Saccharomyces cerevisiae S288C: one gene and its partners. The gene in region 1 interacts genetically with each later gene. Each region holds a gene or a part of one and is shown in the gene's direction. Other genes may lie near its edges. The genes, in order: PKH3, VRP1, STE50 and DOT6.

Region 1 (8,582 bases):
AAGCTTACGAAGATGATGAATTTTCCAGAATATTAGCCGATATGGTTAACCAAGTGGTTAACACTTCATTAAAAGAAACATCAACGCATACTGCCACACAGGATAATAAATTAGAAAGCGAAAGTGATTTTACTTCCCCTGTACAAAGTCAATATACTACTGAGGATGCAAGCACAGCTAATGATGACTCGCTTGACTTGAATCAAATCATGCAAAACGCAATGGCTATGGTTTTTCAAAATCAAAACGACGATGAATTTGATGAGAACATTGTTGAAGACTTTAATCGTGGTTTAGGCGATCTGAGTGTTTCCGATTTACTGCCGCATGATAACCTTTCTAGGATGGAAAAGAAATCGGTGCCTAAAAGTTCGAGCAAATCTGAAAAGAAAACAGCTATATCTAGGAGAGCTTCCAAAAAGGCATCTAGAGATGCCTCAAGTGTAGAATTGACTGAAGTACCTTCAAAACCGAAGAAACCTTCCAAGACAGAAGTATCTTTAGAAAAGAAGTTACGCAAAAAATACGTCTCTATTGCCAACGAGGCTGCATCTGTGGCTAGAAAGAAAAGATGGGCTAAAAACAAAGAACTAAAGGAGAAAGAGAAACTTGAACGCCAAACTGCCAGAGAGGAAAGGAGACATAAAAAAAAACTAGAGAAGCAGAGGTTGGCTGAAGAACAAGAGGAACTGAAAAAAATTGTTGAACGAGGTCCACCTTATCCCCCAGATTTAAGACTAACTAAAAGCGGTAAACCAAAAAAACCATACAGAAGATGGACTCCGGAAGAGCTACTGAAACGATCACAGGAAGCTGAAAAACCGAGGAAGGTGAAAAAGGAAAGAAAGAAAAAGGAAAAGAAAATGAAGGTACCTTCATCTGCTTTGAAGAAAATTCCTCTCTTCAACTTTGTAAAGGGTAATGTTCAGCCAAGTGCAAGACATCGTCTGAATGACATTGAAGGTTCGCTATCCACTATTGGATTACATAAATCGCCTGACGGTGTCCGCAGGATTCTTTCGAGACCAAAGAGTGAAGATCACGAATGGCCCCTATCAGATTCATCTGCATCTCAAAATTACGATGCACACCTAAAAACTGTAGTGCATAAAGAAAAAATTCCTTTCCATCCCCCATGGACTATACCGTCTCAACCACCATTTGCACTACCCGTAGCTAGAAGAAAGAAAATACCAAATATCAAAAAGTATAGAAAGAGAACCAATAATTCTTTTCGTGTCTCCAAAGAAGGTACGGCAAGTACTAGGAACAGAATTTTACCGGCCATATTACTACCGATAATAAATACATTAAAAGCTGCTGCAAAATCGCAAACAGCTGCTGGCGCCACACCTGAGGAGGCAAGGAAACGGCTGGCAACCATTATTCAACATGCCAAGTCTACAGTTATTAGGGCAGCTTTACAAGCAAGGAAAAACAGTATGCAAGCCGCTCATTCTAAGGGAACTACCACAGAACTGGCAACAACTGCGTCTCGAATGAAGAATCCGCTGAAAATGATTCCTATTTTCAATACATCTCGAGTGAAACAACAATTAGACAAACAATTACCGGCCAGAAGTGCAGGAACAGAAATCAGCAGCTCTGAATCCCCTGATAAAGCCACGCCCGATCCCCACTCTAATTCTACAATCGCTGGGCATACTTTAAAGGGCGTTACTACGCCAATTAAAATAGAAGACAGCGATGCGAATGTTCCTCCTGTTAGTATAGCGGTTTCAACTATAGAACCATCACAAGATAAACTAGAACTTACGAAGAGGGCAGAGAGCGTAGAACCTGTGGAAAATAATGTTGAAACAGCGAAAGAAACCCAAAGCGTACAAGAAATTAAGGAGAATGTCGGTACCAAGGCTTCTGAGGAAGTTACTCTAACTGAAGACAAGACAAATGGGGATCCAAAAAATGAAAAGAGGATATTAATTGAATCTCCTGTCGAAAAAACGGATAAAAAGAAGCCAGGTGAGAAAATTGCTACAGATTTGAATGAAGATGCGAGCCTGTCTGATAAGAAAGATGGAGATGAAAAGTCTACATTGCATTCTGATGCAGCCCAACTTACGGGTAATGAACCAGACAGTGTAAACACGACAACAGGAAAGCCCAAATTAATTGATGTTTCTCTCAAACCGTTAAATGAAGCAAAACCAAAAATTCCCATCATATTTCCCTTAAAAAGACCGCAAATTAAGCCTGAAGTTAGCGTTATTAATTTAGTTCAAAATTTGGTAAATACCAAAATACCCGAAATAAAGAATGAATCCGTTGATTTGGGAAGTAATATCACCGACATTCTTTCCTCTACTATCACTAATATTCTGCCCGAAATCACAGCCACTGATGTTAAAAACTACCAGTATGAAGATGAAAACGTAAAATACCTGAAAAAAACACCAAGACAGGTTTTGAATTTGGATGGACTAGTGCCTCCATCGGGTAGATGTATTACCAAAGCTAAACGTGTCCGCCGCATTAAAAAGCTTTCTGCTGACGCCACTACCGCACCGGAAGCCGATGGAAAGGCAAACAGCGAATCCATTACTTACACATTCGATATACCATCTCCAGAAGAGGTACAAAGTAAGCGTAGTGTAGTCCTAAAATTTGCCAAGGCTAGATTGACCGAGGCGGAGTTGAGTTGTCTAAAGAAGGAGATTAACAATGTGAGGAAACGGAGATGGAGAGAGATGAACTCCACCAAGAACTGGGAATATGACGTAAAGTCTAGATTAAAAAAGCGTGCGAACGCATTTTTTGGGGAAGGAGAATCAGAAACGAAGTCTAAATGGATCGAAGAAAGATTTCAAGAAAAGGTAAGTCAAGAAAAGTACAAGGATCGCCTTGAAACTACTGAGACGCAAGCAAACAACACGAAGATTGTGATTGACGACAAGGAGATTTTGAATATTCTTGCGGTAAACATGAATAACCTTAACAAAGCACGCTGTATTGAAAAAGATATTCAAGAGTCGTTCAGGGAGGAGAAGTTAGCCTCTTTACAACCAAAGAAGAAGAGAAAGAAAAGCATTTTACACTGAGGTGTTACTAGACATAATTTAGTTCATATGTCCATTTCTGCATAATCATATATACTTAAAGTAGCAAATGTATATAGTTTTTTCTTCCGATTTTCGAAACTAATATTAGTATTGGAAATCGGCCCCTGCCATTGTGCAATTTACATTATTCTATAATTAAGCAAACGTGATACGTGGATGGTAATAATAGTTACAGTTAAAGTAAGACCGCTTAACATCATTCCAATCTGGCAATTGCTCGTCAAGAGAATATCTGGTGTAATCGCATTTCATACCATATGTAGCAACATCGATCTCAACAATTTCTTTATATACATCGTAACACAACGATCTGTCAGCGCCTAATCCGTTGAAAAATGAGAAAACGCCTTCTGGTTTAATTAAACCTACCACGACATCGTATAAGTCCAATATGTCTTGGTAGTGCTCGCTAAATGTATCATAATAAATACCATCAAAGAAAACTTCACCTTTGTCTAATAAATTATTCAACGTATCTTGCCATCTTCCCTCTAAAATAACCACATTATCCTTTTCATACCAACCATCCATTTTCATCTTGGCCAAAACATCTGGATGAGCTTCGCAAATATAGTGACGATATGGTTTTCGAGCTTGGATGAATGTATCGATGATCCCCATTCCAAATCCAATGTTTAAGATCGTAGCAGAATTAGTGGCCTCTGGATCAGGAAATAAGGTTTCGGAAGCAAGTTCCATAATCTTGGTTTCCCAATCCATCATAACACCGTCCTTATTTTCCTTTGTGATAAGCGCATCGTCTTTGTACTCTAGTTCTGTTTTTAAGTACACTTGTTGATTTGCCGCGGTAGCATCGTCATCACTACCAACTGATTCTTCTTTTTGACCATCAACTGCTGTTTGAACGCTTTCCTCAGGCTCGATACCTATTAGTTCATCTGTATCCAAGAATTCGACGTCGCCACCATTGAGTTTTCTCAGTAATAATTCAGCAGACACACCAGCTTCCACGAGCCGTCTATAAAGAGGGCTCTCCCTACTTTGATTTCTCTCTAAAAACAAATCACCCACTGTTTTGTCCTCGTAGTCAATAAAATTCCATCCAGCCCCATACTCAAAAAGAATATTCATCATATCCATCACCACTTGCAGTTCCTCATCCTTGATATCCAAGGGTAGCGATCTTGCTAAAACGTGTAACGGCGTTGTGTTTGAGGTTTTATTGTCGTCAGTGCTCTCTCTGAATTCCTTATCCCCGTTCCTGTTCTTTTCCTCATGCTCGAAGGCTGCGACCTGCTCCAAAGTATATGTAGCCGGTATACCAGATTTTAAGAAATGCTGCAGTTTTGGTACATAGTAACTTTGAGAAATGGGCCTCTCTGGGAAAGTAAGCAAAGCATGTAATTCTGACATACTTGAATATATTAAAAGTCCTTGGTGTAAACACCTAGCCGTTGCAACTGCTGGGTATTGTCAATGTCATTTTGCTTTACGCTTAGCTTAAAATGAGATGAGATGAGCTTTGAAAAATTTTAGAAAAAGAAAGGTGCCATCGATTCTCGCCGAAAAAGGAAAAGAATCGTTATAATCCTTCGAATCCTATATACACTAAACAAATATCTGCATTGGTCAACCCCAAGCACACGTACTGATGACTAGAGATGATACTGAAAGTGTTAACAATATAACTTCCTTACTCGCAGCTAATGTCACATATTGAGGTAACAATGGATCGAAACAATTTTCATGCTTACCCGCGCGGTGATTTCTTGGTAGCGAAGGGGTTTTCATGAAGGCAGCAGAAGAGAGGTACATTGATTTGAAAGTGTGAGGAAACAGAATAATAGTGCCTAAAGCCTAACCCAAGCAAGTAAGCAGTTCTTCCACGTCTTATCTATTCAGAGGCTGAAACAATTGAGTGAAAATTTAAAGAGTAGGTGTGGGACATTGGTATGACATATGACGTCTAGGAAAAGGTCTCCGCACGATTTCATATTTAAAGAGGAACTGGGCCATGGCTCTTACTCTACTGTGTTTAAAGCTCTAGATAAAAAAAGCCCGAATAAAATTTATGCCATTAAAGTTTGTTCGAAGAAACACATAATCAAAGAAGCTAAGGTAAAATATGTCACCATTGAAAAGAATACCATGAATTTGTTGGCACAAAAGCATCACGCGGGTATAATCAAACTATACTATACTTTTCACGATGAGGAAAATCTTTATTTTGTTTTGGATTTTGCCCCAGGTGGAGAACTACTTTCCTTATTGCACAAAATGGGTACTTTCAATGATATATGGACGCGTCATTTCACTGCACAGTTAATTGATGCATTAGAATTTATCCATTCACATGGCATCATTCATAGAGACTTAAAACCGGAAAACGTCCTTTTAGACAGGGATGGTAGACTTATGATTACTGATTTTGGGGCCGCTGCCACCATAGACCCTAGTTTAAGCGGAGATTCGGCCAAGTTTAACTCTGACAGCAACGGCTCAAAAGACAACCAAAATTGCGCTTCCTTTGTTGGTACTGCCGAATATGTCTCTCCAGAGCTGCTTTTATACAACCAATGCGGTTATGGCTCAGATATATGGGCACTAGGTTGCATGATATATCAGTTTGTCCAAGGACAACCGCCGTTTAGAGGGGAGAATGAGCTGAAGACATTTGAAAAAATCGTAGCATTAGATTATCCATGGGGACCCAATAACCGCATCAATAATAGCACATCACCAATAAATCCCCTTGTAATAAACTTAGTACAAAAAATATTGGTGATAGAGGTCAATGAGAGAATCTCTCTCGAACAGATAAAAAGACACCCATATTTTTCAAAAGTAGATTGGAATGATAAAATCAAAATATGGAGAGGAATCTGGCAATCACAAGGACAATCGCTGCAACAAACTACTTTGGGACTCCCAAATATACCGCAGAATATACTACCCACCAGACAATTACATGTAATTGACACTCCAGCACGAAGTATACAAATCACAAAACAAAAACGTAAGAAACCAACGAAAATTTCCAACACTACTAGTAGCATAGTAGTATGGAGAAAAAGGCTTGGTATATCAACAGGTAAGGATGATTTAGGCACCGTACCGTCCACTACGCCTGCAGTGACCGCCCCTAATGATACCAATGTATTAACAAATACGGCGGCACATTCTACTGCAAATATTGCCTTACCGCCTAATTCACAATCCAATCAAGTCAAGCGAGCACAACTAGTTGCACCAAATAGAATACCTCCCAAAGTACCGGTAATTAATGACAACGTGAGAAATAAGTCAATTCCGCGCACAAAGCCTAATGTGCCACCTTTGCAAACATCATCAATACCACAAAAGTTGTCAACATCGTCAGCATCGTCAGCTCTATCGGCGCCGTCAACAGAGATAAGGAACCAGGACTTAACACACACTTTAGATGGAAGAAACTCAATTGATATTCATGTTTTAAAACAAGACTACGTCTTCATTTATGGCATTCCATATGAACACGAAGGGCCTGCTATGTCTTTGAACAGCTACAATAAGATCGATAATGATTTAATTACGTCACTAGTTGCGCAGCATAAAGAAGAATTAAAAAACTCAGAGTCGTTTTTACAGGTATTGACTTTGAAGAAGAGCGGAATGTTAAGTTACAAAAACACAGTTATGGAGGGAAATGATGATCAAGAAAACAAAGAACACCAGATGGCTAATATAGAAGATACAGACTTGTCCATGTACGATTTTGAATTCAATGAGTTGACAAGGAAGGGTTTTTTAATCCTGGAAAAATATAAGAATAGAATATGGTTTATCTCGCTACCTTCATATTCAACGTTATCCAAAATACCATTCAATGCCGTGAAGTCTTCGACAATAAATAACAATGAAAATTGGGTCGATTGCTTTTTCAGAGCAAGACAACTACTAGAAGAAAAGCAAATTCTTGATAAAATCAGTAACGTTTCCTTTGATAGTAAGGCATCGAGTGAACCATCATCACCTCCGCCTATTTCAAGAAAAGAGCGGCCTCTGAGTATAGGAAATAATGTAACAACACTCAGCTATACTGCAAAAAATGGAAGCCAGAACAATGCACCACAAAACGATAATGTTGGAGAAGAAAAACCTTTTCGCATACCTAGTAGTACCAAGGATAGGCCCGGTGCAAATTCCACTCCTTCTTCAAGACATCCTAGGGTTTTGTCAAGCAATAACGCTGGTGAAACTCCGAAAAAAATGAATGGAAGATTACCAAATAGTGCACCTTCTACCAATACATATACCAACGGTTCGGTCCCAGCTTTTAATCATAGGCCTTCTACTAATGTAGGGAACAATAAGCATAATATTTTAACTTCGAAGAAGCAGGGATCATCCGTATTTTCTCCTTCATCTTCTACGACCAAGCCTCAAATCAAAACAACAGGATATCGACAGCCAACACCTTCACCTCCACTTCCGCAAATGGAATTCCCAACTACGAGAGAAAAGTATTCTGCTCCTTCTAACATGGTGATCAGTAGCAGCAGATACGAGGTCTTACATACCCTTAATAACAGCCAAACAAACTTTGATAGGGAAATTGCTAGTAGGGGTGCCTCAGCAGCATTTAGAAGTTTACAGAAGAGTAAGAAAAAAAAATAACACGCTTTAATAATATTTGTGGTTCCTCTACTTCGAAACAAAAAAATATGCACGAGTTGTTGACGATCCAGAAAAACCAACATATAAATCATATCCAAACCCTTGTAGCATTAATATCCGTATCACTTATGTATTCAGAATGCATGTATTTTATATATGCCCAGTATATCTTCGATTGAAGCTCTTCGGCATTAGTGCATTGTATTTTTCAAGCAATGAATGCCAAAACTAATAAAACTATCAAGACGACAATAAGAAGTCCTATACAACAATCGTCGTATTTTTCTTTATTTTTTTCGTAGACCCATTCCAATTGCCTACGACCTCTAGCCAGCTTATTTACAACACCGTCCATACCCTCGTCCATATTATCCAACAATTGTCCCTGGTTCTCTAATTCATCCCCCATTGTTTGAGCTTGAATATGCAAATTTTGCATTGTCTTGTGAATACCATCTAAATGAACATCTTGTTCTCTTAACATTTGTTCCTGAAACGGATTGGACATACCACCATCATTGTTCTCAGCCATGCTGGTGTTAAGTGTTGAATTTTCCACCGTCTCTTCTAGAGGAATAGTTGTTTGAGTAGATTCCTGTATTCTTCGATCAAAACGCAACTTCAGAGCATCAAGTTGCTGTTTTATATTTTTAACTTGTGCTTCCCTACCACTCACGTCTTCGTTTTCATCCCTTTTCATTACGATTATGCTTCTGTCCAAATCAACTATTGTTTCCTCAACATCCTTTAAAATATCTTGTATTTCCTCCTCTTGATCGTCATCACCAGCAGTATTGTGACGAGTTATGTAATTGTTTATGCGGTTCAATTGCTCCTTGGTGTCCTTAACAACTTGTTGAAACGGATCTTCACTGTTGTTCATTT
Region 2 (8,398 bases), on another chromosome or scaffold:
TTGCTTTGTTCTGGTCCCTTGGTTTTCTCTTTTTGCATAAATCTGGCAGTATCGTAAAATGTGATTTGCACAAACCAATGCACAGAGGAGAGTTGAAGTACAGATAGAATGCGTTTACGACATTACTTAGGCCTTTCCAGGGCGCGAAAAGACAAAATATGGATTGCCCTTGCTAATTGTGTAGATGTTTGCATGCCGCGGTTTTATCGCTGCGTCACATATGGGATTTTGATTGATTCAAAGCCTTGATATTATCAATAAATGGTTCAATCACATCCCATTTATTGAATTGGAGGCCTTCTTCGTCCTCTTCTGTACTTGAAGTGATTGATTCAGATTCTGCGTTTGAGGACTCTCTTTGTTGGCTTTGCTTCATATCTTGAACAGTTCCGTTGCACCAAGCGCTCAAGAGTTGTTGCCGTTTTCCTTCATTGTTCTTTAACCAGAGTTGAATAATTTCATCAATTCCCAAAAATAACTGCGGAATCTGGTGCTCAAAGACAATTTTTATGAGAATTTCAATAAATGACAAAAATACTTCATCGGAAAATTTTTCTAAAAAATTGACAGAATACATGAACTTAACGATCAAGATAAAGCATTTTTGAATCTCTAAAACAATCGTTGAAAATACTCTACTGAAAAGAACGTAGTTGATAATAGTGTTTCTATTGTGGCATTGATCTTGTTCTTTTAGCTCGATTCCGAATTTGAAAGTTTCCAAAATAGAATTGGAAAAATGCTTCAAACGGCACATTATGTCCACTATATTTGTGGAGGGATACTGACCCTTTAGCTTGCAAATTATGTACTTGTCATTGTAGCATTTCAAATCTGCATCAAACATTTGTAATAAGTTTATGTTCTTTATCAACGTTTCGACCCAAATATCGTGCACAATGAACTCAATTGTGTTAATGAAAGTAGATTTTTCGAAAGCCTCATCAGAAGAGTCGGCCAAGAGTTCAATGTCTTCAAAAAAGTTTAATAACACCACGCAGTTCGGAAGTATTAGTTCTACCAAATTTTCTTCGGGATTATCTTTGCTTACTCGAAAGTCATAGAGCGTATTGAATAGTTTTTTGTTTATTTCATTTAGAGTCAACGAACATTTTTCAAGGGTGGCACCAGATAATAACTCAGCATAAGGGACATTATCGTCAAAACTAAATTCTATCACGTCTTCATCTGCAGTATTTAGCATAAAAGTTGCTGAGTTTGAACGAAGACTATCAATGTTTCCATTTTTTTTTGAAAATTTTGACTCCGCTATATGGTTACAGTCAATACTCTGGGTATATTTACCACTCGAAGCTGGGTCATTACTGTTGTTAATTTGGTAGTTTAAATTAGAAGAATTATCATCTTGAATTCTATCCCACTTTCCTTCTTTCTCATCGATCCTTATCGGAACTGCGTCAGTTCCAAACTGGCTTCTGATAGTTTCTGCATTACCGCGATGGAGCTGTTCGCTTTTATGGTGCCCTGAATTGTTTTTTGATGTGAATAAAGAATCATCTAATGGAAAAAAACCTATACTACTCTTTTTTTTTGAAGGTACATTATCTTTTACGGTATATTCGTATTCCAAAGGAAGAAAGAAGCTATTTTGTACGTTAAAATTTGAATTATCTCCCCTTCGAAACATATTCTACTTCTATTGATCTCTTAAGGAACATAGAAATACTGCAAGATAGGTTTTTTTTTTTATGGGAGCTTCTGCTCACCTCTCATCGAAGCAGTAGTTTCGTCTTTTACTTTTCTTCATTATTTCCTCGCAGCTATTTTTGATTTTGTGACATTTCTTATATCCGACGTCTTGAAAGAATCAAGCGATAGTAGAGAAAAAGACAACTTTTGGTATTCTCAGTATTTCAATAAGCATATAAAGGATAAAAACCTTTGTTCAGAGACAAGCGTAAATTGGGAAGATAGTATAGCTACTTTCTCTCATCAAATCATGAACTTTGAAATAGTCCGTATGAACTAGAAAACCAAACTACATTAAGTGGAAGTATTTTTATCCAGTTAGGTGTCCAGAGCCGCTCAGAATATATGAAAATCGCCAGGTATTCGGAGACTAACTCAGGCTAGCGCAAGGAACCGGACAGTACATTATCATGAATAAAATGAATCAATGAGGATTAATGTTATTTAATTATAAAATAGTATATATGAAATTAACTTAATAATTCATGTTGCACTTCTTAATCGAATAAACCGAAACCCATGTCGTCATCAGATTCTTCTTCTTCTTCAGCAGCAGCTTCTTCAGCTGGAGCAGCGTCACCGGAAGCAGCGGAGGTAGCAGCTGGAGCAGCAGCAGCGTACTTTTCTGGGTTTTCAATTCTGTCAACCAAATCTTCAATTTCAGGGTAGTGGTAGGAAGCAGCAATGGCAACAGCTAACAAGTCCTTGTAGTTGTTGATCAAAGTGTGACCGACAGATGGCAAGGTTGGGTAACCAATAGCCAAAGAGATAGAAGCAATGGTGCTGACAGCGGAAACGAAGTGAGAAACCAATTCTTCATCGGTGATATCCAAGATAGAAGATGGGAACACTTGACCGTTGTCGTAAACTTGAACAACAGTCAAACCGAAAGTGAATGGAGAGATGTTCAACAAGTTCAACAAGGAAGCTTCAGATTGACCGACCTTGTTACCGGCGTCAACGACCTTGACATCAGAAACAATTTCAATGGTACCTCTGGCAATCTTGGTTGGGACACCCAAAGCTTGGAAGAAAGAAGTCTTACCTGGTTCCATACCAGTGTTGACGGCTCTAACCCAGATGTCTTCTGGAGCAACGGCACCAGCTCTGGCTGGAGCAGCAACTCTGTTAGAGACAATAACGTTCTTGATTTCAGTCAATGGTTCGTTAGTGAAAACGAAACCAACGTTACCTTTGACAAAAGGCAACAACTTTTCGAAGTCTGGCAAGTCGGATAAGAAACCTCTGATGGCTCTTCTAACCATGGTGTTCTTACCCATCAAGACGACAGCTCTGCCTCTCAATTCCTTTCTGACTTCGTGCATTTGTTGGGAAGAAACATTGTCAACACCAACAACGAACAAAGACTTGTATTCTTCCAAGTATTCTCTTAATTTAGCAAAGTATTCAGCTTTCTTTTCACGAATGCCTCCCATTTCAAACTTATTATACGTATTTATTAGACTGTTTGCAGGATGTTTAAAGGTATTCCGCTTATGTATCTTATGGCTGAAACTTGAAAAAAGAATCGAGAATTAGATATTGTTAATCTTTCATTTACTTATAACTTGAAGTCATTTTTTACCAGTTTTTCGCAACGATGTGATGCATTCACTCTCAGTTCGGCATTACTTCTTTTTTCTTTGAGAAATTTTTTGACTTTTTTCTCGAAATAATCAAAATGTGAAATGTTCGGATGTTAAGCAGGCAAATATGTAAATGTAGATATTGCCCTGAGAAGTATCTTGATAACATACGGTATGGAACTCCTTCAAGATAAGTTACAATTAAAATGGTAATTTCAATGTTCGGTTTGTCCGCTACATTGCTGTATTCTCTTTTAAGTTCAAATTACAAGGGCAAGATAAAAATTTTAGCTCACAAAAGATGGAAAAAGTCGCAAATATTCAAGTTACGAAACATTGACAGAGGATGGAATCACAATGTTAGCCTTCAAATCCTACTATCCTGTATGAAGCTTGCTAAAAGCGTCTTTAGAAAGAATGAAATGTTCATAACCTAGTCACTGCTTACGGGTGCGGCCGCCGTCCTCAAATAGGGGCCTTAAGAATAATCCGCACAGTCAGTAAATACTTGAACAAAATCTAAAATTATAAACTTATGAAGAAAGTTTTTGATATGAGACAAAGCATACGACTAAAAAGCGCACAACCGTTTGTTGAAGAAGCCTACCATATATATAACGAATTGTTGAAATGGCAGGTGCTCCAGCTCCTCCTCCTCCACCGCCTCCACCAGCATTAGGTGGTAGTGCTCCTAAACCGGCAAAATCTGTGATGCAGGGCCGTGACGCCCTGTTAGGTGACATTAGAAAGGGAATGAAACTAAAGAAAGCTGAGACCAATGATAGAAGTGCCCCAATCGTGGGAGGTGGTGTCGTTTCATCGGCCTCAGGAAGTTCTGGTACCGTCAGTAGTAAAGGACCCTCTATGTCAGCTCCTCCAATCCCTGGGATGGGCGCTCCGCAGTTGGGCGATATTTTAGCTGGAGGTATACCGAAGTTAAAACATATCAATAACAATGCAAGCACTAAACCCTCTCCATCGGCGAGCGCACCGCCAATTCCGGGCGCGGTGCCATCTGTTGCGGCTCCCCCCATTCCTAATGCACCATTATCACCAGCACCCGCTGTTCCTAGTATTCCCTCGTCTTCTGCACCTCCAATTCCTGATATTCCATCTTCTGCGGCCCCTCCTATTCCCATTGTACCATCATCTCCAGCACCACCGCTTCCATTATCAGGTGCCTCTGCTCCAAAGGTACCGCAAAATAGACCGCATATGCCTTCAGTAAGGCCAGCACACAGAAGCCACCAAAGAAAAAGCTCTAATATTTCTCTTCCTAGTGTGTCAGCACCCCCTTTGCCTTCAGCGTCTCTGCCAACACATGTTAGCAACCCTCCACAAGCTCCACCCCCTCCCCCAACTCCAACAATTGGCCTGGACTCAAAAAACATTAAACCTACAGATAACGCAGTCTCACCACCATCTTCTGAAGTTCCTGCAGGCGGGTTGCCATTTTTGGCAGAAATTAATGCCAGGAGGTCTGAACGAGGAGCCGTCGAGGGCGTTTCTTCCACAAAGATTCAAACCGAAAATCATAAATCTCCTTCACAACCACCACTTCCATCATCTGCTCCGCCCATTCCTACATCACATGCTCCGCCATTACCGCCTACTGCACCACCTCCACCATCGTTACCAAATGTGACCTCTGCACCTAAAAAAGCAACTTCAGCTCCAGCTCCGCCTCCACCACCACTACCAGCAGCCATGAGCTCTGCGTCGACTAACAGCGTAAAAGCAACCCCGGTTCCCCCAACTTTAGCACCACCGTTACCAAATACTACATCAGTTCCTCCTAACAAAGCATCGTCAATGCCCGCGCCACCACCTCCTCCTCCCCCACCACCTGGTGCTTTTTCAACATCCTCTGCCTTGTCAGCATCATCTATTCCTTTAGCACCACTACCACCTCCTCCTCCTCCTTCGGTTGCAACGTCAGTACCATCGGCTCCTCCTCCTCCTCCAACACTCACGACAAACAAACCCTCAGCGTCCAGTAAGCAATCCAAAATATCTTCATCCAGTTCTTCCTCGGCCGTAACACCTGGGGGACCCTTACCATTTCTTGCTGAGATCCAAAAGAAGAGAGATGATAGATTCGTGGTTGGTGGTGATACTGGATACACTACCCAAGATAAACAAGAGGATGTAATAGGTTCATCTAAGGATGATAACGTAAGACCTTCTCCTATTTCTCCATCTATAAACCCGCCTAAACAGAGTAGCCAAAATGGTATGTCGTTTCTGGATGAAATTGAATCCAAATTACATAAGCAAACATCATCGAATGCTTTTAACGCACCACCCCCCCATACGGATGCTATGGCGCCTCCTTTGCCTCCTAGTGCACCTCCTCCTCCTATAACATCGCTACCGACTCCAACTGCATCAGGTGATGACCACACCAATGATAAGAGTGAGACTGTGTTAGGGATGAAAAAAGCAAAGGCCCCTGCACTGCCTGGACACGTTCCACCTCCACCAGTTCCACCAGTTTTATCAGATGATAGCAAGAATAATGTCCCCGCCGCTTCTTTATTACACGATGTTCTTCCCTCCTCGAATCTCGAAAAACCTCCTTCTCCTCCTGTTGCAGCTGCTCCGCCATTGCCAACATTTAGTGCACCAAGTCTGCCTCAGCAATCCGTGTCTACATCAATACCATCACCTCCTCCTGTTGCGCCTACACTTTCCGTTCGTACCGAAACTGAATCAATTTCGAAGAACCCCACTAAGTCGCCACCCCCACCACCAAGTCCATCTACGATGGATACCGGTACCTCTAATAGCCCCAGTAAAAACCTTAAACAACGGTTATTTTCTACAGGTGGATCGACGCTGCAACACAAGCATAATACGCATACAAATCAACCAGATGTTGATGTAGGTAGGTATACGATAGGGGGATCGAATTCTATCGTTGGGGCCAAATCTGGAAATGAAAGAATTGTTATAGATGATTCAAGATTTAAATGGACTAATGTGTCACAAATGCCTAAGCCACGTCCCTTTCAAAATAAAACAAAACTGTATCCAAGTGGAAAGGGTAGTAGTGTGCCATTGGACTTAACATTATTTACGTGAGCATTTCTCCATGGTTACAATAAATCACTGAAGAACAAGAAAATAATAATATTTTATAAAAATATTTTACTAAATTACATATGGTATCTGCAATATTTATTTTTTAATCTTTTAGCTTCCCGTCCTTTTCGCTGTGAAAAATATAAAATCCAGCAAAAAAAAAAAAATGCGATGAGCTTACAAGACTACTGAACTTACTTACGAAGCCTCATCTTAACTAAAGATAGCCAGTCCACAGCTGCAGAATATTGAGGCAATGCAAAAAACAGATGGTATTAGAATTCCAGGCGTTATTTTGGACGAGTTGAAGACTCTTGACTACAGTCAAGATGAAAGGTTTTCTATTTCAGAAGGAAAAAAGAGAAGACGAGGAAATGGCAAACATTTAAGCCGTAAAGAAAAGAGAAAGATGGAACGGGCCGACAAGAAACGTAAAATTATATCAACTAGAGAAATCAATTCCAGCCGGCTAAAATCAGCACCAACGTCCGAAAAGAGGAGTGCTAATGCAGGTGTGAAAAACGTAGGCAAGCAGGCTAACGGTAAAAATCCGATTTCTTCAGATGAATCAGAAAGTAATGAAAACTGGGATAGTGACGAAGTGCTTACTGATGAAGTAGCAGAAGAAAGCGGTGAGCAGGCAATGTCTGCGGAAGAAACAATGAAAAAACTAGAATCATTGAAACGGAAAGCAAAGGGTATACAAGGAGCTGAAAACTCGGGAGAAATAAAAGGTAACTCATATGAAAAGAAACATATTCGTAACAGAGATACAAATGAGAATTTTGTGAGTTATCCGCTGGCCCCTTCAGACAGATCAGCGTTTGAAAGGGACGAGATGGACATGCAATATTACGCAAAAAAGTTGGGCTTGAAAGGAGAAAGGAAGGCTATACATGCAAAAGATGAATTTGATGCTATTGGTGGACTTCTTGAAGGTTTGGAATACTTTGAAAATTATGGCAAAAGTGACGAAGAGTATGGAGATTTTGCCACAGAAACTAATTCTATGAGAAAAGATGATGAAGCAAGCGAGAAAGCATTTTCCTCGGATGATGATCTTTCAGCTTCTGATTTTGAAGACTCAGATGGGCTTAGTGAATCTGATAACGACAGCGTTGCGGACTCGGATGATAATTATAGAAGAGAAAAGGAAAATCCCTATGTAGCTCCCACACAATCTGTAGAGAGCTATGTTCCCCCATCACTGAGAAAGAAATTGGATGATAGTGAAAACAATAGTACTTTGTCTGAAATTAGCAAGAAGGTCAACTCCTCTTTGAATAAGCTTTCAGACTCCAATATTACTATTATTATCACTGATTTAAACAGATTGTATGATTCCCTGCCTAGGCAGTACGTTACAGAATCGTTAACGAAAGGGATATTGAATATTATAAGCCAAAATCAGAAGTTGTTGGACGGATTTATAATGAATTATGCTGCTCTTGCGTATACATTATCAAAACTAAGAGGTATTGAGGTGGGTGCTTTTTTCATTCAAAAAACGGTAGAGGCATTTCTGCATCATTACGAAGAGGAAATGGAAAATATATTAAAGGATCAGCAGAGCAAAATTTCCTCTAAAATATGCATCAATATTGCAACCTTACTATCGTATTGTTATAATTTTGGATTTGTTTCGTGTCGCTTAATCTATGACATTATTCGAATATTTGTAGCAGATCCTAATGAATTCACTACTGAGTTACTTTTACGAATTATATCGATTTCAGGACAACTGATCCGGGGTGATGATCCATCCGCCCTGAGAGATATACGATCAGAACTGTTGAAGAACGCCAAGAATTTAAAAGAGCAGAGCCCAAGATTGAGATTTTTAATGGATACCATGTCTGACTTGAAAAACAACAGGTTAAAGCCTTCTATTTTGGCGACTGATCATCATCCATTAAAGAAAAACTTGCAAAGCATTTTGAATTCTTCTTCTTCTTGGGAGCCTTTACAGGTTTCTCTGGAAGACATTAAAAACATTGATTCCAAGGGGAAATGGTGGC
Region 3 (7,232 bases), on another chromosome or scaffold:
AGAGACAGAACAGAAACTACTGGCTGACGAGAAAAACAGCGTGAGGAAGACGTTCTGGCCCATGGTGGAAGCACATTCACGCTCGAATGAATTTGCTTATCTGGAGAAATGCATCAGGCTGATGGCCTCTCAGAGAGCAATATGCTTTTGTCTTGATATAGAGGCTTTCGAAACAAACCAGAACGTAATCACCGAAATTGGGATTTCAATTTATGACCCCAGGGAAAATATGGTGCCGTCAATGGTTCCAATTACAAAGAATTACCACCTAATTATCGAGGAGTCCCTGGAACTTAGAAACCAAAAATGGGTCTGTGACTACAAGGATTGCTACTTATTGGGAGAAAGCTATGTTTTGAGCTTGAAAGAGTGCGTGCATTTCATTCAATCACTAATAAACTATTACTTGGTCCCGGTGACCGAAGAAGACAAGACATGGTCAAGGGCATTTGTTGGTCATCACGTGAGCGGGGATCTTAAGTGGCTGGAGACTATTGGTGTCAAATTCCCTGGCAGAGGGTATGAAGGCCATCTGGACCATACGCTGCTTTTGGCTGAAACTCCCGGTGATCTAGACGTGTTCATCTTGGACACTGAGCAGTTTTACAGGAAATCGTATGGCGAAAAGGGCAGCAGTCTGGGCAAGATTCTGCGGTTGTTCGAGATACCGCATGCGTTTCTACACAATGCCGGTAACGATGCCTACTATACCCTGCATTTGTTCATGAAGTTTTGCGATGTTAATTTCAGGAAAATAAGCGGCATGGACGATGTTCTTAAAGTAATGGGCCAAGTAAAAGTTTGGGGAGAACGAGACGTACGAGAGCCTAAAGTGGTGCCCATGTCGTATGCCATCTCCATCGAGGAGGCAGTCAAAAATCGGACGTACCGCAAGGGCGTCAAGAGCAGTAGGAAGGAAAGAGTCTGCCAAACGGAATTCGGTGGGTTAACGTATTTCGGAACTGCTAAAGACGCCTTCACAAGCACTCTTCCGACACACTAAATATATTCATCGATTTTTTTCCTGTAAATACAAACACATGCTTGTATACATATACATATACATATATATAAGCTCATTATAAACCTGTGTGCATGGAAAAAACTTTGTCTGCCCTTAATTTGCAAGAATAGGTTCTAACAATTCCTCCAATTCACCAGTCTCCCTCAATTCCTGCAAGTCGTCGTTGCCTCCAATATGTTTACCATTAATATAGATGTTTGGCACGGTTCTTTGGCCATTAATCTCATATAACGCAGCCTGAATGTCTGCGCCTTCCTTCATGTCATTCAATTGCAAAACCAGAACTTTGGACCTGGGAACCTTTAACTTTTCAAAAAGCGTGTTTAGGGCTGCATGGCAGTATGGACAGTACGTTTTGGATGCGACGAAGATCTCGTTTTCTGCAATAAGGTCCTTGACGTGCTTGATAGTTTCTTGAGATACCATTTTTTTTCCTTCTGAGGTTTTGTCTATTTGTATAATTATGCGAATGCTCGTATAAGTACTGCACGAAGTTCTTTATTTTATGCTAAAGTCCCTTTTTATATTATATAAACTTTTCATTTATTTTATATATTTACTCCTTTCAAGACAAAATTCCCACATCACGTGAATCAGGAGGCGCAAGGGGGGTAGTAAGGCAGTAGTAGATAAAGAAAACAAGCATCGCAATCTGGAAACGCCGTTGCGGCTGCTCGTTATCTGTAGACAGCTCACTTGTGCATGAAGTTCATGTTTTATAGATGATGGAGCCATACTTCAAGGTGATAACTATGAAACTGTTTTGACCTTGACGTGTAAAGTGATCAAGGTAATAGTTAAACTTTATATATGTTGTTTATCAATGTGGTATCCTTTCTAAGGATGAAGACAACACGATTGTGACAGTGTGAGAGAGTGATAAAGCATTGGAGGCAGGCAAAACAAGAACATGGGGTTTCTTTCGGATCATCCGCATACAGCTATCACCGAGACGATCTTTCGAATTGTCTCTTCAAGGGACTATACGCTAGAAGTGGAGTTAGCTCCCTTGATTCAGCTTATCAAAGCAGATCACAACGATTATAACTATACCGTGAACCAAGAAGAAGCTGCGCGAGCACTTAGAAAGAAAATAAAGTATGGGAACCGGCTGCAGCAGTCCAGGACTCTGGACCTCTTGGATCTGTTCATCTCACAAGGCGTGAAGTTTACAGTCATGTACAATGATGACAAGCTGCTGCAAAGGCTGAGAGGGATGGCTACGAACTCTGAAAACAGCGGGTCCGGTGAAAAGTATGAGCCTAGGATTATTAAGAAGTGCGCGGCGTATGCTATCTCGTGGCTAAACTATATTACGCAGAACAACCTTGAGAATGCGAGGGCGTATTCAGGTCTTTATCAATTGGGTCAAACAGTCAAACAGAGGTACTCGAAGAGCAGCCGTTCCCGCCGTAGCGGCGGAGGCTCTGGCGGACGGTCTAACTTCATGGATGATAGCGCCGACGACACTTTGTACCAGTCCAACTCGCTGACTAGTGCCGATAGATTGTATAGGATTCCACAGATCAACATGAACAAAGAGGCACCCAGGATTCGGCTCATAATCAGCGATGCTCTCGCGTCTGCTGTGTCGTTACAGAACTCGCTGATCGGGCTGCCCAAGGGCAAGTTCTCCACAGACGATGAAGAGGCCACGTCCAAGTTCATCCAGGCAAGGGCGATCAGAAGGAAAGTTCTTAGATATCTGCAATTGGTCACGGAGGGTGAGTTTCTGGGTAGCTTAATTCATGCCAATGATGAACTGGTGGCTGCGTTGACTGCATACGACGACCGAAGCGCTCAGGACGATAGCAGCGATGAAAGTGATCACGGCTCGTACGATGACGGTATTTATGATGAAAACGAGCAGGATAACAGCAGGTATATTGATAGCGAGTCCTCAGAGGAAGAGAGCTTGTCTTCTTATCAGCCGTCCACGATCTCAAACCCTTTCGGTGATCATAACAAAATTTGAAGAAGTATGTACGTATGCATACACACATATATATATATATATATATAGTACATTTAATCCTTCTTGAGGTTTAAAGACGCACTGTTCACACAGTGTCTGGTGTCCTTGGGCAAGTTTAGCAACTGTTTCCAGCCTTCACCTTCAAACACATGTCCCAAGTGTCCACCACACCTTGCACAACATATCTCCACCCTCGCAGGCATTAAAGAATTGTCACGATGATATGTGATGGCTCCAGGGGATACCTCTTCGTAGAATGCGGGCCATCCACAACGAGCGTCGAACTTGGCCTTGCTCGAATACAACGGTCTGTCGCAGTTGGCACAATGGTAGACACCGGACTCGTTGGTGTGTAAATACGCACCGGTGTTGGGCCTTTCAGTGGCCTTATCTCTCAGCACCATCAGCTGCAATGGTGTCAGGGCATCGTTCCACTTCACGTCATTCGATTCGTCACTCATTTTCTTGCTCTTATTCCAGTACTGCGTCAGTACAATGTTTCTTCTCCCTGGAAAAGTCCTGCGTACAGTTATAACGTACAGCCTGCTCCACTTATTCATTTTTTGATATTGCTTCCTTTCTCCCTTTATTTAAACTATCATCGGCGACATATTTCCCAATAGGCAAAGCTGAAAAATACTATCGCTAATTATAACAAAGAAGCTAGGTCGAAGGACTCGAAAAGACAGAGGTCGTACTAGCAGAGATAGCAAATCAGATGGAGGACGGTAAACAGGCCATCAATGAGGGATCAAACGATGCTTCGCCGGATCTGGACGTGAATGGCACAATATTGATGAATAATGAAGACTTTTCCCAGTGGTCGGTTGATGATGTGATAACTTGGTGTATATCCACGCTGGAGGTGGAAGAAACCGATCCATTATGTCAGAGACTGCGAGAAAATGATATTGTAGGAGATCTTTTGCCGGAATTGTGCTTGCAAGATTGCCAGGACTTGTGTGACGGTGATTTGAATAAGGCCATAAAATTCAAGATACTGATCAATAAGATGAGAGACAGCAAGTTGGAGTGGAAGGACGACAAGACTCAAGAGGACATGATAACGGTACTGAAAAACTTGTACACTACTACATCTGCGAAATTGCAAGAATTTCAATCGCAGTACACAAGGCTGAGGATGGATGTCTTGGACGTAATGAAGACCAGCTCAAGCTCTTCTCCGATTAACACACATGGAGTGTCCACTACGGTACCTTCTTCAAACAACACAATTATACCCAGTAGTGACGGTGTGTCTCTTTCACAAACAGACTATTTCGACACAGTTCATAACCGACAATCACCGTCAAGGAGAGAATCCCCGGTAACGGTATTTAGGCAACCCAGTCTTTCCCACTCAAAATCTTTGCACAAGGATAGCAAAAACAAAGTACCCCAAATATCTACAAACCAATCTCACCCATCTGCCGTTTCAACAGCGAACACACCGGGGCCATCACCTAACGAGGCGTTAAAACAGTTGCGTGCATCTAAAGAAGACTCCTGCGAACGGATCTTGAAAAACGCAATGAAAAGACATAACTTAGCAGATCAGGATTGGAGACAATATGTCTTGGTCATTTGCTATGGGGATCAAGAGAGGCTGTTAGAATTGAACGAAAAGCCTGTGATCATATTCAAGAACTTAAAGCAACAGGGTTTGCACCCCGCCATTATGTTAAGAAGAAGAGGTGATTTCGAAGAAGTAGCAATGATGAACGGAAGTGACAATGTCACCCCCGGTGGAAGACTCTAATGTGCAGTTGTCATGCACATCATCATACTAAACTTACACGAATAGGATAACATGTATGCTAGCAGAATATATATGAAAGAAAAAAATTATTGATGCCTTTAAACTTATACTATTATACTATATTATGTTATATTATATTATTAGTTTTATAGATATATTGAGATATGTTGAATATGATGACGAGGATGGTGGTTTAAGTGTATGGATTGAATTTTCTCTTAGCTTTCATTACCTTGATTCTTTCTTGATCTTCCTTAAATTTACTTAACAGTTGATTGATCTCCTGTTTTTTACGTTCTCTGACCTGAAATCTATAGAAATCTTTCTTTGCCTTTTTATCTATATTTGAAATTGGCTTGGCCTTATTTTCATGTTTGGATAATGGATTTTTGTTTAATATTTTCTTTCTTATGGAATTCAATGACTTGGTGTTCTTTCCTACAACTAATGTGAATCCATCCTCATCCACTATAGAACTTTGAACATCCTCTTGTGCTTGAGCTTCACGCTGTTCAAAAATTGCCATATGTGTATGAATATCTTCTTTCAAATAATCAATATCCAGTGGTTTGTAGAAGTTAACAAAAGTTGTGAATGATGGAGTCGTATATGTCCATTCAAATAGTTCATTTGGATGTTTGGCATGCAAATTCGAGTATTTTTTCAAAGCATTCCAGCAGTTATTTATACTTGCAGCATCAACAAATTTTAATAGCGCCGTGTTTCTTGGTGTGTATCTCTTCTCGTTGACGTCAGTGGAGGACATCAGATCGGAGGTCAATGCCGATAAATCTACTTCATGTAATCCAAATTCATCGTTATATAGTAGTTCCTCTACATGCGATACTGTATCGTATTTCCCACAGAGCTGCCCGACAAATTTCTTCATGTGCTCTATGTTAGATAATAATGGAAGGTTGACCAAAAACAAACAGTCAGACTCGTTGGAATTTGAACTCTGGTGTCTTTTAGCAAACATGAAATGCAACGAAGCTTCCTGGCTTTTGGGTAGTGCCTTGTGATCCGGTAATTTGAACGGCACCACTATAAACCCGTTCTTCATGGCGCTAATGTCTTCAATACCCATCCCGTAACACTCTATCTGAGGTTGTTATCTGTTACCTAGTTCGTTCGCCCTAAATGCCTCTTGCTTTACCATCCTCTCAATGTTCTCTTCTTTTTCCTGCTTATTTCTTAGGTGACCAAAAAGTGAAAAATTTTCCAATTTAACTTACGTCGTTCGAAGTGATGACAATAAGGATATTCATTTATTAATCGCTATTTGATACCCACTCTTGCTACTACCTCTCTTTTAATCCAAAATTACAATTTTTACGTTACCATTCATTACATAGTGTATCTCTATTCATTCAAGACTGTATTTTGTTTGATATATATATGTATATATACATATTATTTTCGTTAGTGTTCGGTTTCCAAGTTAGAAATAATCTACTGGAAATCCTTTGGGATCAACCCAAGCTTACTCATTCTGATTTTCACAGCGTTTCTGTGACCGTCTAGACCCTCCTTCTTGGCAACGCACATAACAGCTCTACCGATGTTTTCTAAACCTTCAGGGGTAATGTTTTGGGCAGTGATAAACTTTTGGAAGGTTGCAGTGTTGGCACCACTGTACTGCCTAGCGTAACCATAGGTTGGTAATGTATGGTTAGTACCACTTGAATAGTCACCGCACGATTCTGGAGTGTAAGCACCCACAAATACGGACCCTGCATTGTCAACCAATTTAACATAATCGTTAGCATTGGCGATTTGTAGAATCAAATGTTCTGGTGCATATTGGTTGGACATTTCAAGGGCTTCTTCGTAACCGTCACAAAGAACGATCGTACTGTGAGCAATACATTTACGAACAATATCCACACGTGGCAGTTGTAAAGCTTGATTGTGGACAGCATCTTGAATCTCTTGAATTTTCTTTTCGCTCAAGTTAACACCAACAAGGATAACTTGGGAGTCAATACCGTGTTCAGCTTGCGATAGCAAATCACTTGCAACAAAATCCACATCGGCATCTTCATCGGCAATAACCAAAACTTCACTTGGGCCAGCTGGCATATCAATGGAACATAGAGCTTGAGTGTCATTTTGAACATACATTTTGGCGGCAGTCACAAATTGATTACCTGGACCCAAGATCTTATCCACTTTAGGAATAGTTTCTGTCCCGTAAGCCATAGCAGCAACGGCTTGGGCACCACCAGCTAGAACAATCTTGGAAGCGCCAACTTTTTCTGCGACATAAACAACTTCGGGTGAAACTTTACCATCAGATTTTCTTGGTGGAGATGCAAACACAATCTCCTTACATTGGGCAACTTGTGCTGGAACACCAAGCATTAATGCAGTACTTGGTAAAATGGCAGTGCCACCAGGGATATACAAACCAACTTTTTCAATAGGACGAGGGAATCTGGAACACAAGACACCAGGTTGGGTTTCAACTTCAA
Region 4 (7,929 bases), on another chromosome or scaffold:
GTTCAATCTTACGGTTCCAGATATGTCAGACCACCAATTATTGTTGGTGACTTGTCCAGACCAAAGGCTATGTCCGTCAAGGAATCTGTTTACGCTCAATCCATCACTTCTAAGCCAGTAAAGGGTATGTTGACTGGTCCAATTACCTGTTTGAGATGGTCTTTCCCAAGAGACGATGTCGACCAAAAAACTCAAGCTATGCAATTAGCTTTGGCTTTGAGAGATGAAGTCAATGATTTGGAAGCTGCCGGTATCAAGGTTATCCAAGTTGATGAACCAGCTTTAAGAGAAGGTTTACCATTGAGAGAAGGTACTGAGAGATCTGCTTACTACACCTGGGCTGCCGAAGCTTTCAGAGTTGCTACTTCTGGTGTTGCTAACAAGACTCAAATACACTCTCATTTCTGTTACTCTGACTTGGATCCAAACCATATCAAGGCTTTGGATGCTGATGTTGTTTCCATCGAATTCTCTAAGAAGGACGATGCTAACTACATTGCTGAATTCAAAAACTATCCAAACCACATTGGTCTAGGTTTATTCGATATTCATTCTCCAAGAATTCCATCAAAGGATGAATTTATCGCCAAGATTTCAACCATCTTGAAGAGCTACCCAGCTGAAAAGTTCTGGGTTAACCCAGATTGTGGTTTGAAGACTAGAGGCTGGGAAGAAACTAGATTGTCTTTGACTCATATGGTCGAAGCCGCCAAGTACTTCCGTGAACAATACAAGAATTAAGGTTTTAAAAAGGAAGCAAAGTAATGATATTTTCTGAACTTTTTGTTTTTTATTCTGGGATTCAACATCGGTGATTTAATTTTTGTGTTCACATTTAAAAGTTTATTTGGGTAATTTTTTGATATCAATTTTATTACAAAGCCATAACTCTTGCATTTTTTTTATTATATTTTTATATACACGTACATTCTGTATTATTTATAACGCATTCAACATTCGTTTTCTAAAATTTCCTATATTTTTTGAACAAAAATTTTTTGGTTGTAAGTCGGACCAAATGTATATGTCGAAAGAATAATACTTTTCAGGATCCTGCTATACATCATTATATCATATTATTCGAAAACTATAAAAATGTCGTCTAAGGGGAAAAAAACAGAGAATGCCCTTTTTAAGCTGATCCTACGATATCGGCCCACAATTCTTCTGCTTGCACAATAGTACTGTGATTGGCCATCATTTTATTCATGGTTTCGACATATTCATCGTACTCATCTGAATCGTAAACAATACCACCGCCAGCTTGCAAGTAAGCAATGCCATCTTTATAGACCATAGTCCTTAAAGCGATACAATTGTCCATTGTTTTACCGTCGTATGACCAATGACCTACGGCGCCTGCATAAACCCCACGCCTTTCTCCTTCTAGTTCGGCAATCAATTCCATGGCTCTAACCTTTGGAGCACCACTGACAGTACCTGCAGGGAAAATCGATCTGAATGCATCAAATCTTGTCTTTTCTGGGCGGAGAACACCGCTGACTTGAGAAACCAGATGTTGGACATGAGAAAATTTTTGAATAGTTAACAGTTTATCGACACTTGTTGTTAATGGGTCACAAATTCTGTTAATATCGTTTCTTGCTAAATCTACCAGCATAACATGTTCTGCACGGTCTTTTAACGAGCCACGTAATTGGTCCGCTAAAGCATCATCCTCTTCAGTAGTAGCCCCACGTTTGACAGTACCAGCAATTGGATGGGTAATGACTCTATTTTTGGAATCCGATTTGCACAACAATTCTGGAGATGCACCAATGATTTGGAAATCCAAACAATCAATATAAAACAGGTAAGGAGATGGGTTCACTGTACGTAAATGTCTGTAAATATTGAAAGGATGTAACGAAGTTGGCCTTGCCACTCTTTGCGATGGCACACCTTGAATAATATCACCTTTCTTAATATGCTTCTTCAAAGTGGAGACGTGATTTTCGTAACCTTCCTTGCCCACATTCGATTCAAAAGTTTGATTCAATTTAATAGGAGGTTGTTCTGGATATGGTATTGGCGAGGAATCGTCGGTTAGCTTTGATACGATATCAGTGATTATTTGTGCTGCAGCTTGGTAACCTTCCTCCAACGAAGTTTCATTGGTATTAATGTTATGAATGATTTGAAATCTCTGAAAAACATTATCAAAGGCAATAATGGTATCACAAAGCATTAAATATGCCTCTGGAAGTCTTAGGACATCTTTCAAAGGCCTTCTTGTTTTTGGCTCGAAATAACGAACACAGTCATAAGAAATATAACCAATAGCACCACCACTTAATTTCGGTAAACCAGGAACATTTTCGGCTACTTTAAAGGTAGACATCTCCTTTTCCAAAATTTCCAAAGGATCTGTTTCAATGCCTTCAGTAGGACCGGTTTTGATGGTCTTGCGTGGCGAGATACCTATGAATGAATAACGATCTAATTCATTATTTGTCTTAGCACTTTCCAACAGAAATGATTCCTTTCTATCAGGGTTGTTCAATTGTGCCAATTTTAGATATGCCACGTGAGGAGTCAGATCCAATGATGGCAAATACGCATACACGGGATACATATTTATGGAACTATCGTCATTTTGCTGCTGTAATTGCTTTAGAGAGTCAATATCCGGTTGAATTTTGATGGAAGCGGTCATTTTTTGCCTTTTTTCCAATCAGAATATCAGTGCTAATTATCGATTGTGGCCTCGGTTTTAAAGTGATGATTGCCTTCTGCTACGATGGACCATAGCCCTTTAGTCATGTTAATATATCAAAATCTAACAATACTTCGATGAGTGAAAAATCGTAATGAGTCAGCAAATCACTGTGTACGTTAATGCCTTTAACAACTTTTTTTTTCCCACAAACTACTTCAACGATTGAAAGGATTATTCTAAAAAAAAAAATATCATGCTGATAAATGGAAGGGGATGGTAAAACAAAGAAAACCAGCCAATTCGGATTCTGACAGAGCAAATTGAAACTGGATATTATAGTGCTAAGTATATAGACTTCTGTTTTGTTCTTTAAAACTAAATAAAAAAAATTCACCCTCCTCCCCACGGAATAAAACTACAACAAGTTCTGTTATCAAGGACAATTAGTGTATATTAGTTGTTGTAACATTTTTTACTTTCTCTTTTTTTTTTTCATTGATTAATTATAACTATTCGTTCGAGATAGTAGTTTTCCGATTAATAACATCCCTAGGATTTTGACTATTCCATTGTTGTATAAAATATAGAGAACCAGAAAAAGAAAAATGGGACAAATTCTATCAAACCCGGTAATTGATAAAGAGAGCCACTCCGGTGCTGACTCCTTGACCGCGTTTGGACTGTGTGCAATGCAAGGGTGGCGGATGTCAATGGAGGATTCACACATTCTAGAGCCTAATGTTTTGACAAAGTCCGATAAGGACCATATTGCATTTTACGGTATATTCGATGGTCATGGTGGCGCTAAAGTAGCAGAATACTGTGGTAATAAAATAGTGGAGATCCTGCAAGAGCAGAAATCGTTCCATGAAGGAAATTTACCAAGGGCTTTGATTGATACTTTCATAAACACAGACGTGAAACTGTTACAAGATCCTGTGATGAAAGAAGACCATAGCGGATGTACGGCTACATCCATATTAGTATCAAAGTCCCAGAACTTGTTAGTATGTGGTAACGCTGGTGACAGTAGAACCGTACTCGCCACCGACGGGAACGCAAAGGCATTATCATACGATCACAAGCCCACTCTAGCAAGCGAAAAATCACGTATTGTGGCAGCTGATGGCTTCGTAGAAATGGATAGGGTCAACGGTAACTTGGCGCTCTCTCGTGCCATTGGTGATTTTGAGTTCAAATCCAACCCCAAATTGGGCCCCGAGGAGCAAATAGTGACATGTGTTCCGGACATTCTCGAGCATTCTCTAGATTACGATAGGGACGAGTTTGTAATCTTAGCCTGTGATGGTATCTGGGATTGTTTGACTTCCCAAGATTGTGTGGACTTGGTTCATCTCGGCCTTCGCGAAGGCAAGACATTGAATGAAATTTCTTCGCGGATCATCGATGTCTGTTGTGCTCCCACCACAGAGGGGACGGGTATTGGATGCGACAACATGAGTATAGTGGTTGTCGCGCTGCTGAAAGAAGGTGAAGACGTCGCTCAATGGAGCGACCGTATGAAGTCCAAGGCCCACCGCACATCAGTGCGTTCTTTTGCAGACAAGAGAAGAAGGGTGTTTAGTTACTACGATTTTTCCAAATGTAACGACGAACAGGTGTTCGCTATCACTACGAAGAAACCTCAGGACAAATTCACTCGCGACCACGAAGCCGCTGTGGCCTCGGTGACTGCCGCCGATAACGACGATCCAATGGACATAGACGACACGGACGCTGACACAGATGCAGAAAATCTTGACCCTTCCAGCCAATCCAAGAGCAAGACCTCCGGCCCCATTGATCTAGCATCCTTGGAGGCGCTACTTGGTGCTACAGGAGGAGTGAAGACAGACAGCAACGGGAACAAAGTCACCTACACTCTTCCCCAGTCTGCCTTGGCCCAACTGCTCCAAACCATGGGCCATGACCCGGCTTCCTCCCATCCCGAGAATGACAGTAACACTGACCACAAGGCCGGCCGTTCCCACTTGCAATGAAGGATCTTCCATCCTTCATTATATATACATACCTATATACGAACCGAACGAACAGAAAGAGAAGAGAAGACGCAAGACACCACCAGAACCAAGAGCATACACCACTACCACCACCATCGCTACCAACAGCAGGATATCCGGATGCAGTTTGACGCTTGAAGATGGTATTCACCTCAGGGGTAAACGCGCAGAAACTGCGCGTTTACCTGCAGCGACGCCACAAAAACGGACCGGCCCGGCCAGAGGGTGAGACCAGCAGCGGCCCCGTTGTGAAATCTCACCCCCAGTCCCGGATGGGCACGAGTCCCCAGCGCCCGTCCCATGAGGTCCTCCTAAGGTAGACAGCGCGGATGTTTCCGATGCAAAGGAGAAAGGATGGACGGTACAGACATCGTAGACAGGATTCGCGCATTGCCTTGCACATCTGTGCCCCATCCAATCTACCGTATCTATTGTTATCGTCGTGTGTGCTACTCTTTTCTCCGACAGCCTCGACAAGACGGAATCAGAAAGTGCACACAGTTTAAAAAGGAAAAAAACCGAGTACAACAAAAACAGGGACAGGTTTTGAAAAGTGTTCTTTTCTTTGCATCTTCTCTATTTCTTCTCTCTTTCGTCCTGTTTGGTATCTTGTTGTATTTTTTCTCTCTTTTGTAGTATATTTATCCGTGTTTCCTCCTTTTCACAGTCAGTTCATCCGACCTCATCGAATAGCTTCCGTGCACGTTCCAGTCTTCCCTCCCTTCTCTGCTCCGTGATGTCCATTTCAACCAGTTTGAACTCAGCTTCCATTCATTTGAGCAGCATGGACACCCATCCTCAGCTACACTCACTCACTCGTCAGCCACACTCGTCGTCAACAGCTATGTCCAAGAACGAAGCCCAGGAATCTTCGCCCTCTCTGCCAGCTTCCTCTTCATCGTCGACTTCGGCATCGGCATCTGCGTCTTCCAAGAATTCGAGCAAGAACCCTTCCTCTTGGGACCCTCAAGATGATCTGCTGCTACGTCATTTAAAGGAGGTCAAGAAAATGGGCTGGAAGGATATTTCGCAATACTTCCCAAACAGGACTCCTAACGCGTGTCAGTTCAGATGGAGAAGGTTGAAGTCTGGTAACTTGAAGTCGAACAAGACTGCTTTGATCGACATCAACACCTATACGGGCCCACTCAAGATCACCCACGGCGATGAGACTGCCAACGCTCAGCAAAAGCCCAGCAAGAAGGTAGAAGAAAACGTATTAACGGAAGATACTGCTGAGTTCACTACAACGTCATCCATCCCGATTCCCTCCAGAAAGACCTCGTTGCCTTCGTTTCACGCATCGATGTCATTTTCTCAATCTCCGTCCAATGTGACTCCCACTACGATTGTCTCAAACGCTGCTTCTTCCATGCCGTTCGCTCCTCCCACGCTGCCGGCCGCACTCCCTCATCATCCTCATCAACACCTACACCACCATCCCCATCATAAGACTCTAAAGCCAAGGTCAAACTCTCACTCCTTCACCAATTCTTTGAACCAAGACCCCATCGTTCGGTCTAATGATGAGGAGAAGTATGGATTCATTCCTAAAGTATTCGTTAGATCCAGAAGAAGTTCGTTTGCCTATCCACAACAGGTAGCAATAACCACTACTCCGTCTTCTCCAAACTCTTCGCATGTCTTACTAAGCTCAAAGTCAAGAAGGGGCTCGCTTGCGAATTGGTCCAGAAGATCATCGTTTAATGTTTCAAGTAACAACACTTCAAGACGGTCTTCAATGATTCTTGCACCAAATTCCGTGTCAAACATATTCAATGTCAACAATAGCGGCAGTAACACTGCTTCTACTTCTAATACCAACTCAAGAAGGGAATCTGTCATCAAGAAGGAATTTCAGCAAAGATTAAACAACTTAAGTAACAGTGGAGGTCCTACCTCCAACAACGGGCCCATTTTCCCCAACTCTTATACCTTTATGGATCTCCCACATTCTTCATCGGTGTCATCGTCATCCACTTTGCATAAGTCTAAACGAGGTTCGTTTTCTGGCCATTCTATGAAGTCATCGTGTAATCCGACTAATCTATGGTCAAAAGATGAAGACGCTTTGCTAATGGAAAACAAAAAGAGAAACCTATCCGTTATGGAACTATCCATTCTTTTGCCGCAGAGAACTGAGGTGGAAATTCAATGGAGATTAAACGCCTTGTCAAGTGATGCGGATATGTTGTCTCCTACACATTCACCTCAAAAAACTCTGTCCAAGAAAACTTGTCCAAGAATGTTCAAAAGTGGTTCTACCACTGATGATGACAAAGGTAGCGACAAAGAGGACGTTATGGGTGATGGTAGTAACGATGATGACGAAGATAATGTAGACCCGCTGCACCGTGCTAAACAATCCAGTAACAAGACTGTCTTTTCATCCAGCAGTTCCAACATATCCTCCAAAGACGTTTCACCGGATCCGATCTTTTCACCGGATCCCGCAGATGATTCATCGAATACTTCTGATGCTGGTTCTAGGTGCACCATAACCTCCGATACCAGCTCCTCGGCTGCAACCATGAATCGCACCCCTAATTCCAAAAACCCGCAAGATATTGCTTTGTTAAACAACTTTCGTTCTGAAGCCATTACTCCGAGACCGAAGCCTTCTTCCACAACTACATCCATCACTACCGAAACCACCAATAACATGATAAACCACTCTAGTTCTACAACTACTACCACAAACAACAGTCCGCTGCCAAGCATAAACACTATCTTCAAGGATATGCTGTGAGGGGAAAACTTAAAATGAAAAAAAAATAAAAATAAAAAAATATCAACAACAAAAAGAAAAATGTGAATTTAGCGGGCTTGTTCATTAAATTTCTATAGTTTAGCATATTTAAAAGTATAAAAGTTTCTTTGGTTTATATGACGTATTCATCCATTCTTCATTTCCGCTTCAACTATTTTTTTTCGTGGAACGCAAACAACGTTACCCTGAACTTTTCACATTGGAAAAGGAAAGCATCATAAAAAATCGTGTTTTTATTTTAATACACGGTAGCCTTTTGATGAAGGGAAAAGATTTCAACCACCACTTCAAAACACCACACTCTACCTCCTACCATACTCCATAATGTCAAGCCCAACTCCTCCAGGTGGTCAACGTACTTTGCAAAAGAGAAAACAGGGAAGTTCACAAAAAGTTGCGGCATCCGCTCCAAAGAAAAACACGAACAGCAATAATTCGATTTTGAAGATTTATTCTGATGAGGCTACGGGACTAAGAGT

What was found.
Region 2: mutations in PKH3 (region 1) and VRP1 together harm fitness less than expected from each alone (positive genetic interaction), as found in Saccharomyces cerevisiae (2 studies listed by BioGRID).
Region 3: mutations in PKH3 (region 1) and STE50 together harm fitness more than expected from each alone (negative genetic interaction), as found in Saccharomyces cerevisiae (4 studies listed by BioGRID).
Region 4: mutations in PKH3 (region 1) and DOT6 together harm fitness more than expected from each alone (negative genetic interaction), as found in Saccharomyces cerevisiae (2 studies listed by BioGRID).

Annotation. Positions count from the first base shown.
Region 1 is NC_001136.10:1,390,121-1,398,702, forward strand, and holds PKH3 (protein kinase PKH3), read left to right. Parts: upstream 1-5,000; coding exon 5,001-7,697; downstream 7,698-8,582. Other genes in the region: SPP41 (Spp41p), read left to right, coding at 1-3,059; RMT2 (protein-arginine N5-methyltransferase), read right to left, coding at 3,216-4,454; TLG1 (Tlg1p), read right to left, coding at 7,906-8,580. UniProt on the Saccharomyces cerevisiae protein: Serine/threonine-protein kinase which may phosphorylate the same targets substrates as PKH1 and PKH2, 2 upstream activators of PKC1.
Region 2 is NC_001144.5:800,635-809,032, reverse strand, and holds VRP1 (Vrp1p), read left to right. Parts: upstream 1-3,926; coding exon 3,927-6,380; downstream 6,381-8,398. Other genes in the region: SPO77 (Spo77p), read right to left, coding at 215-1,648; 60S ribosomal protein uL10 RPP0, read right to left, coding at 2,208-3,146; SGD1 (Sgd1p), read left to right, coding at 6,637-8,398. UniProt on the Saccharomyces cerevisiae protein: Involved in cytoskeletal organization and cellular growth. May exert its effects on the cytoskeleton directly, or indirectly via proline-binding proteins (e.g. profilin) or proteins possessing SH3 domains.
Region 3 is NC_001135.5:59,724-66,955, forward strand, and holds STE50 (Ste50p), read left to right. Parts: upstream 1-3,717; coding exon 3,718-4,758; downstream 4,759-7,232. Other genes in the region: GFD2 (Gfd2p), read left to right, coding at 1-1,003; dithiol glutaredoxin GRX1, read right to left, coding at 1,118-1,450; LSB5 (Lsb5p), read left to right, coding at 1,935-2,999; MXR2 (peptide-methionine (R)-S-oxide reductase), read right to left, coding at 3,053-3,559; RRP7 (Rrp7p), read right to left, coding at 4,952-5,845; HIS4 (trifunctional histidinol dehydrogenase/phosphoribosyl-AMP cyclohydrolase/phosphoribosyl-ATP diphosphatase), read right to left, coding at 6,211-7,232.
Region 4 is NC_001137.3:332,676-340,604, reverse strand, and holds DOT6 (Dot6p), read left to right. Parts: upstream 1-5,416; coding exon 5,417-7,429; downstream 7,430-7,929. Other genes in the region: MET6 (5-methyltetrahydropteroyltriglutamate-homocysteine S-methyltransferase), read left to right, coding at 1-741; anthranilate synthase TRP2, read right to left, coding at 1,133-2,656; type 2C protein phosphatase PTC2, read left to right, coding at 3,265-4,659; Arf family guanine nucleotide exchange factor SBH1, read left to right, coding at 7,775-7,929. UniProt on the Saccharomyces cerevisiae protein: Component of the RPD3 histone deacetylase complex RPD3C(L) responsible for the deacetylation of lysine residues on the N-terminal part of the core histones (H2A, H2B, H3 and H4).